Linked DNA regions of Saccharomyces cerevisiae S288C. The protein of the gene in region 1 purifies or fractionates together with the protein of each later gene. This does not show direct contact. Each region holds a gene or a part of one and is shown on either strand. Other genes may lie near its edges. The genes, in order: RTS3 and TPD3.

What was found.
Region 2: the proteins of RTS3 (region 1) and TPD3 purify together in Saccharomyces cerevisiae (affinity purification with mass spectrometry; 4 studies listed by BioGRID). This does not show direct contact.

The regions. Positions count from the first base shown.
Region 1 is NC_001139.9:807,896-811,172, forward strand, and holds RTS3 (Rts3p), read right to left. Parts: upstream 1,526-3,277; coding exon 734-1,525; downstream 1-733. Other genes in the region: YGR161W-C (uncharacterized protein), read left to right, coding at 2,332-2,610. UniProt on the Saccharomyces cerevisiae protein: May be a component of a protein phosphatase type 2A (PP2A) complex. Negatively regulates SIT4 phosphatase, a modulators of caffeine sensitivity.
Region 2 is NC_001133.9:123,087-127,568, reverse strand, and holds TPD3 (protein phosphatase 2A structural subunit TPD3), read right to left. Parts: upstream 2,691-4,482; coding exon 783-2,690; downstream 1-782. Other genes in the region: bifunctional N-glycosylase/AP lyase NTG1, read left to right, coding at 1-666; serine/threonine protein kinase PSK1, read right to left, coding at 3,274-4,482. UniProt on the Saccharomyces cerevisiae protein: Phosphatase 2A affects a variety of biological processes in the cell such as transcription, cell cycle progression and cellular morphogenesis, and provides an initial identification of critical substrates for this phosphatase.

The DNA.
Region 1 (3,277 bases):
AAAAAAGAAACGAAAAAAAAGGGCATGGGGACCCATACATCAGGCACTTACCCCCAGGAAGGATTACGTCTTTAAATCAGAGGATCAAAGGGTAATTAACAACCACCAGTCGAATTGCTGTCGTCTTTCTTCAATTGCTTTATCCAAAAATCTGAATGGATGTAAGTATTGCCCAGTAAGTTTTCTTGGCAAAATAACCTATAGCGAAATAGACAATCAACGTGATGGGGTTTAAATAGCTAGCGGTAAGTAACCACTAGTAGAACGTAGCTCCATAGCGTGTAATTTGGCGGCAAAATATGTGAAGCAAGCATATTCGTTATTACTTAGCTGCCTGTGAAATCCTGTCTGTGCCTTCTCTTTGCCTTTACTTTGTATAAAAACATATCAACACTGTCTCTGCGTATGAGGCCGAGGTATTTAGAGCATAAGAAAAAATGTGAACAAAAATAGTGTCATCTCCAGTAAGGCTTAAATGTATATTGATTTTCTATATATATATATATATATATATATATTTATGAAATAAACCATATAATTATAAGTAGTAGCTTGGAAAAACGCCAAAGTTGTACTTAGAATGAGGTTTTAAAAAAAAATTATAAAAAAAAACCAAGCGAGAAGTCACGCTTATAACGCAAGTGCACGAACTGCATATGTGTTGGATTGCCAAAGATCAATAGGAAGAATATATTTAGAGAAACTCTGTTTTCTTATGTATCTCGCTTACAGCCTATTTCAATGAACCAGTTTGGAATCTCTTTGCCATGAGATCAGCCTTTAAAGAGTTTGAGCCATCGAGACTGTAATTGGAAGAACGCCTTCTCCTGTCATGAAGAAGAGCACCGGATTCGGTTAAATCGCTAGACGAAATGCCGCTTAGAGAACGTGGAAGAAGAGTGTGATGTGGAAGATCGGCGGAGGGAAGGTTTCTGTTTGTTGTTGGTGCTGAGTGGATTTTAGTCTCAATGGGGAAAATCGTGTCTGAGATGCTTGTTCCGTTAGATATGGAAGCGTTCCGGCTTGACCTTCTGGCGGAATGGGAAATGTGGGTCATGGAGTCCTTGGGTGTTAAGGGAAGTACGGTGTGTCTGGATGCACCATCTGTGAGCTTTAGCTTTGGAGTGTCGAGGGTGTAACCATAATTGCAGTCATCATCATCTAGGATGGCAGACTCGCCTTCGAAAAATGGAGACGACCTTCTAGCCGGGACCGGATGGTGCAGTTGATTTTTTAACCTAGAGTTTTCTTCTTTTAAAGTTTCAATTTCCCGTAGAAGTCTTACTACAATAGCGTCTTGCTCCTTTTCCATTTCGTTTATTATTTCTTCCCTCGAAAGCCTTCTCTGTGCTGACATTGGTGACGAAGAAGGAGACGACGACGTCGAAAGTCTGCGAGGATCACGTGCTACAGCTGGTCTCATGGCTCTTGTAACTGAAGTTTGTCTCTCTCTGCATGGTTTGGCAACAGCCTTCTTGTGTTTTGATTCTTTATTCATGTTTACGGCTCTGGAGGTAGCGATCATTATACTTTATCTTCTATTAATGCTATGATTGATGAATTATACGTATGTATGTATCTGTAAGAAAATAGCCGAATGATTGATTATCTTTTCTTATATATGATTCAAGGGAACGAAAAGAAGACAAGATAATGTTAGGCAAGATAGTTTTTTAGACGACTGAGGCCGAAGATAAGCTTTATATATATGCAAGTCTATTTTTGTACGGGCGAAACCATCTAAGCCAACGATAACAATAGCCAGCTATGATCGTTGAGTACAGCGTGGGGCAATTTTTAGCGTGATTGATAAGGGCGCATTATCTCATCATCCATCGCCAATTTGGGACTCTAACGGCAAACCTCGGATTTCCGTGGAAACGCATGGAAAAATTGATCCGGGCTGTGAGGGGAGTCGAGTCAGTCACTTTTTGGCAACTCTCTCCGTCATGACCACTACTCCGCGGTAGCTGCCAAATTTGGTATTTCCAGGTTGTTTTTTGTGGACAGCCCGCGATCATATGTAAGAGCAGGATGTGTCATCCGCGGGTGAGGTAAACGCTGGCTTGCCATTATGGTTTTTTGGTACGTGTTGAACACGTTGCTTACGATCTTGGTAGGGGCGGGCTGTGATGTGAGAGCCACAAACCCGCTTCCTCGTTGTGGCTCTGGCGCTCCGTTTCTTCTTTCCCCCGCCTTGTAATATGTCGTGCATGCGTCCATGATGATATCGTATTTATTGTATATTGTGGTGATTTCGGCATATTTTAGCACATCTGTAGTATACCACAGAGCTAAAACAACCGATTATAGTCAACATTATACAGCATTATGTCTGGATACTTCAACCATCTTTCTTCGAATGCACATTTCGCAAATATTCAAGCCGATCAGGGCTTCATAGGTGATGCTACTGGCACAAGCAGCGATCATGGCAGTAGTGGCATGGTTGATTTTGCCCTACAACTCGGAGAACTGAGCCTAGAAGAGAAAATACTTAAAGAGTTCACCTTATTCCAGAGCAAGAACATGGACTTATTGCAAGAGACGGCGACGGCGTGTCCGAGTACTAATCCTTCCTTGAGACAGAGCCGAATTCAAGGCTGGTGAACGCCTGATGCGAGCTATACGTTTTGTGCTCACCGTGCACATATGGTGGCTACTTTTCTACTCAAACACGTTTGAAAAACGGCATACGATTAGCTTACAGATTGAACTCAAAGAAGTCGCAATGGGAGGTGCAGAAGATGACGTGTTACTTAGTTTATAATACAATGTGTTTTATATATCGATTCTTCGTTTATGCATTTCTGGACGATTGCTTTTCACTGTAAATACGCACTAATATTCATGAATATAAAAAAATGTAACATCATATCTCAATGTTCTTCTCCGTCAGTCAGATAGTGGCAAGGCTGTGATAGGACATTCTTAGAACGCCAAGAAAATCAAAAATTTGAACGGTATCTAAATTCATTTGTCGAACCCTTGAAGAAACTCACAGAGCGGGGTATCTACTATTTTGTTTTCGTTCTTTTGAATCTCCGCTACGTCACATTTTCTACAACCCTCAGGTCCCCTCACCACGAAAATCCAAGATTTGTAAAATATGAGCCGCGTATTTCTGCAATGGTAGAAACGATAATGTACCTATCGTACAACGATACATTATTTTAGTGCATTATAAGCCGCTTGATTCATGTTGATAATTAGCGGCTAAATTGTAGTAGTCATTCAAAATAATCGTACACCTTCATATAGTTATGAAAGGGGTATA
Region 2 (4,482 bases), on another chromosome or scaffold:
GAAGAAGGTATGACATTAGAGGCCGTTTTACAAATCAATGAGACCAAATTAGACGAATTGATTCATTCAGTTGGGTTCCACACAAGGAAGGCCAAGTATATTTTGTCAACCTGCAAAATCCTTCAAGATCAGTTTTCGAGTGATGTTCCAGCTACGATTAATGAGCTATTGGGCCTGCCCGGTGTAGGGCCCAAAATGGCTTATCTAACATTACAAAAGGCATGGGGCAAGATTGAAGGTATCTGCGTTGACGTTCACGTGGATAGATTGACCAAGCTTTGGAAATGGGTAGATGCGCAGAAATGCAAGACTCCAGATCAGACAAGAACTCAATTACAAAATTGGCTGCCTAAGGGGCTTTGGACAGAAATAAATGGGTTGCTGGTTGGATTTGGACAAATAATCACTAAATCGAGGAACCTTGGTGACATGTTACAATTCTTGCCACCGGATGATCCCAGAAGCTCCTTAGATTGGGATTTGCAGTCTCAATTGTACAAGGAAATCCAGCAAAATATCATGAGTTATCCAAAGTGGGTGAAATACCTGGAAGGAAAACGTGAACTGAACGTGGAGGCGGAAATCAATGTTAAACACGAGGAGAAAACAGTTGAAGAAACTATGGTCAAACTGGAAAATGATATTTCTGTTAAAGTAGAGGACTAAGTGTGGTAAAAAAAAAAAAAAAGAAAAGAAAAGAAAGCAGGCCTAGTTGTTAATATGTATACTTTTTATTCATTCAAGTGTACATATGTGTATGTATGTATATATTTGAACTAGTATCAATTTTTTAAAAGTTCTTGACATTCTGCCAAACTTTTCTTAGCGAAGTATTTTACATCAACATCTTCGTCTTGACACAGCGTTTGCAATGAGGGTAAAATTGTGTTCTTAATTAATGCATCATATTTGGCCTCGTCCTTAATTAAAACCTTCACTATCACAGCGTAGGATTTGGCCACATTAAACCTAATATTTGGAACACCGTCATCAGCCAAGTGAGAAATGAATGGTAATAGTTGCTCAGTAACGACATCTAACGATACCACGGGCACCAAAGTGGTTAGAGCAGAGAGTATTGTGAACCTCGAGACAAAATTTTCCAGTAATTGTAGATCAAATTTGAGCAGTCTTGAAATAATTTCATCACGACACCAATCAGAGCCAAATATTTCCGTTAACCTTTTTAAATTATTCACTGCGGCTTCTCTGATAGAATAAACAGTATCCCACAACCATGAAAGACATAAATCGCTTAACTGTTGGTCAAAAAATTGCATACCTAATTGTTCTGCCAAGATAGGTATGTACTCAATTATAGCCATTCTAACTCTCCAATTCACGTCCTTGGCTAATTCTGTTATGGCAGGTAACAAAGAGTCTGATAGCAGCTCAATTCCTATTACGTCATTGACAACCTTCAAGCTGGCAATGATATTTAAACGAACGTCAGGGAACTCATCTCTTAGCATATTCAGTAAAATCGGAAGAAAATTGTTAATGACTTGATCTTTATTCAACAGTAATACAATATTTGTAATCTTAGAAGCCAAAGCAGATCTCACTGTTTCACTTTCGTCCATACTCAAATTCTGCACAGCAGGTAAGATCTTATTCAATATAATTGAAGGATCATTTAGGAACTTGGCAAACCCAGAAACTTGTTTAGCCACAGCTTCCCTAACATCTCCCTCGTTGTCCTCACAAAGGTTCAAAAATGGTTGTACTAATTCATCGATATATGCTTGGTTGGAACTGAATTGCGAGGCTAAATCTGAAAATCTATCGGCAGCCATGTAACGTACCCTCCACGCTTCGTCACCAATTAATTTGACAGCAGAGTTCAATAAATCTTGAGTGTGAGACTCATCACCTTTAGCGTTAAAAAATTTCAAGATGGAAATTAAACAATCAACTGCCAGAAACTTGACAGAATCTTGATTATCGTTAATGATTTTCTGGAAAATGTTAGAAATGTAATCCCAATCTTCGTCTGTAGATAATCCCAAATTTTGAGTCAACAGATCGATCAAGATGGGCAGGTTTTTACCGACGGCCCTTTTCACCATTGGAGTATCATCTTGAGCGAGTTGTAAGTATAAAGCCAGGATATTCTTTCTCAATGAATCATCTTTGATTCTAACAATAACAGACTTGAAAAGACCACAAGCAGAAACTTTTGAAGAAAACCAATCTGCAGTAGCTAAATGTTCAATTAAAGGGACGAAGTCACTAAATAATTGTTCTTGAGAAAGTTCTTGGGCCACGTTATTCAGAGAATCTACGGCCTTTTCTCTAACCAAAGTTTCTTCTGCAGATGCCAAAATTTCCAAAACTGGTAATAGGATTGTGGCGTATTGAGGACCGCCAATGTAGGGGACAAATTTTCCTAACTGTTCGGCTAAAACGGCAAACACCTCATCTTCATCATCTTGTGCAACTTCCGTTAAAAAGGGAATCAACTCGTTTCTTGTTCTTTCGGGACCGAGTGCCAACGCGATGGTATCTAGTTTTTTCATGGCTTCTACCCTATTAGCAATATCATCATGTTTTAACTCATCCATAAGCAGAGCCAAGGGATATAATGACTCGTTAGAGTCTGAGTCCTTAGAGTTTGACGTTGTTGATGTTGTTGATGTTGTTGCTGCCGAGGGCACGGCACCTGCCGTTGTTGATCTTGCTCCAGACATATTTCGCTCCTTTCTGACCACTCAATTATTCTTCGATAATCAGATACCAGTTGTTATAGTCGTCGAAATAAGTTCCACGTTAGTATTGTTGCTATCTGCCTTCCTTCGTAACTTAGTTCCCTAACACTTTCTCCTGTTAACTCTTTCACCTTTTTCGCTTTCCCTGCAAAAAGGGCATTCCGGGTATTATCGTCTGTAGTGATTTAATAATGGTAATAAGCTCTTTGCATTAGGAAGAGAATAGCAGTAGTATTGATCAATAGTTCATGTGGTATCAGTATTTCTGCTTTTAAGGTATGGTTTACTATGTAATTTCAATATTTACCCTATCTTTGTTTTCTAAATATGTAAATTTTTTATATTTAAGTCTTGATTAACTGCTTTGGATGCTGTATTTTTATCATATTAACATTTTGATTAAAGAAAGAAAGTACATATTGATTTATTCATATTTAAATAGAGAAAACTACCAACTCATTACTGAAGAAAGTAAGAAGAACGACATACCAAGCATTGTTTCTACTGGATATTTTTTTGCATTTTCTTTTCCAATTACTAATGTCCTAGAATGATCATTAATCCTTCAAATAACCAACCATTTGTCGTTATTTATGTCGTCAATGGTGGGTCTCTTCGGTACGCAACGGTTCAAAATACTCTTGATTAACTCAATGCAATCTTCACTAACTTCCTCTGCATTATTGAATTTCAGGTCGCCTTCTAATATTTCATCTATATTGTAGAAGGGGTTTTCTTTGAAGACCACCGTATACAATAGAATACCAATAGCCCAAATATCCTGTGGTTGGCCCTCATAAGGGTTTCCTCCTAAGACTTCAGGGGCAGCATAATCTATTGTCCCAACAAAAACATCAAATGGTCCGCTTTTGACATACGCAGCAGATCCAAAATCAATAATCTTAACAAAGCCTTTAGAATCTACGATAACATTCTCATCCTTGATATCTCTGTGAACAATACCCTGGTCGTGTAGATGTTTTATTCCCGCTACAACCTGCTTGAATATCAATTTTGCTTCAAATTCGGTCATGTTGGTTTTAAATTCAATTAGATCGAAAAGATCTATACATCCTGTTTCACCATGTACGGGAGTTTCGATATAATAGTAATCGTCGTCTTCAAAAAAATCCAGTAACCGTAAAATATTCTCATGTGGTTTTTTGTTCAACGTGGCCATAATTTGGATCTCAGAAGGTATAGTGCCTAATTTCCTATCTCTAACCCATGTATCTACAAGGATTCTTTCTTTAAAAATCATCTTAATCACCACAATATACCTATTCTTCTTATGAATACATAGGTTGACCTTACCATATGCACCTTCACCCATTTTTTGCAGACTTACGAAGTCCGAAAACTTCTTAACATGCTTTTGAGCACCGATGTTCTTTTCGGGGGTGCGTAGGAAAGTACTAACAGGTTGGTTTCCTCGCTTGTTAGTCATTATGATTCCGTCTTCGTCTTTAGGTGATCCCGCTAATCCGTTTTCTGTAGCGTTTTCGTCAATTAGCTTTTCCTCTTCAAGTGGAGAAAGCCCTTTCCCAGAACTTTTAGAATCTGCTAAGGATTCAGTGCTTGGGGAAAGTGAAATTTTGCTAATAATCAAATTTTCGTCAACTTTAAAATTTCCTTCTTTCACAAATTGAGATTTATCTCTTGAGTAAATTCTGGCCAATTCTAACTTGTGCTTCATTTCGGGGTCTGCAAGCATCATCTCGCCACTGTCCTTATCGTTTTCCAGGGGAACTTGTTCCTGCTCGGACAAAGTAGA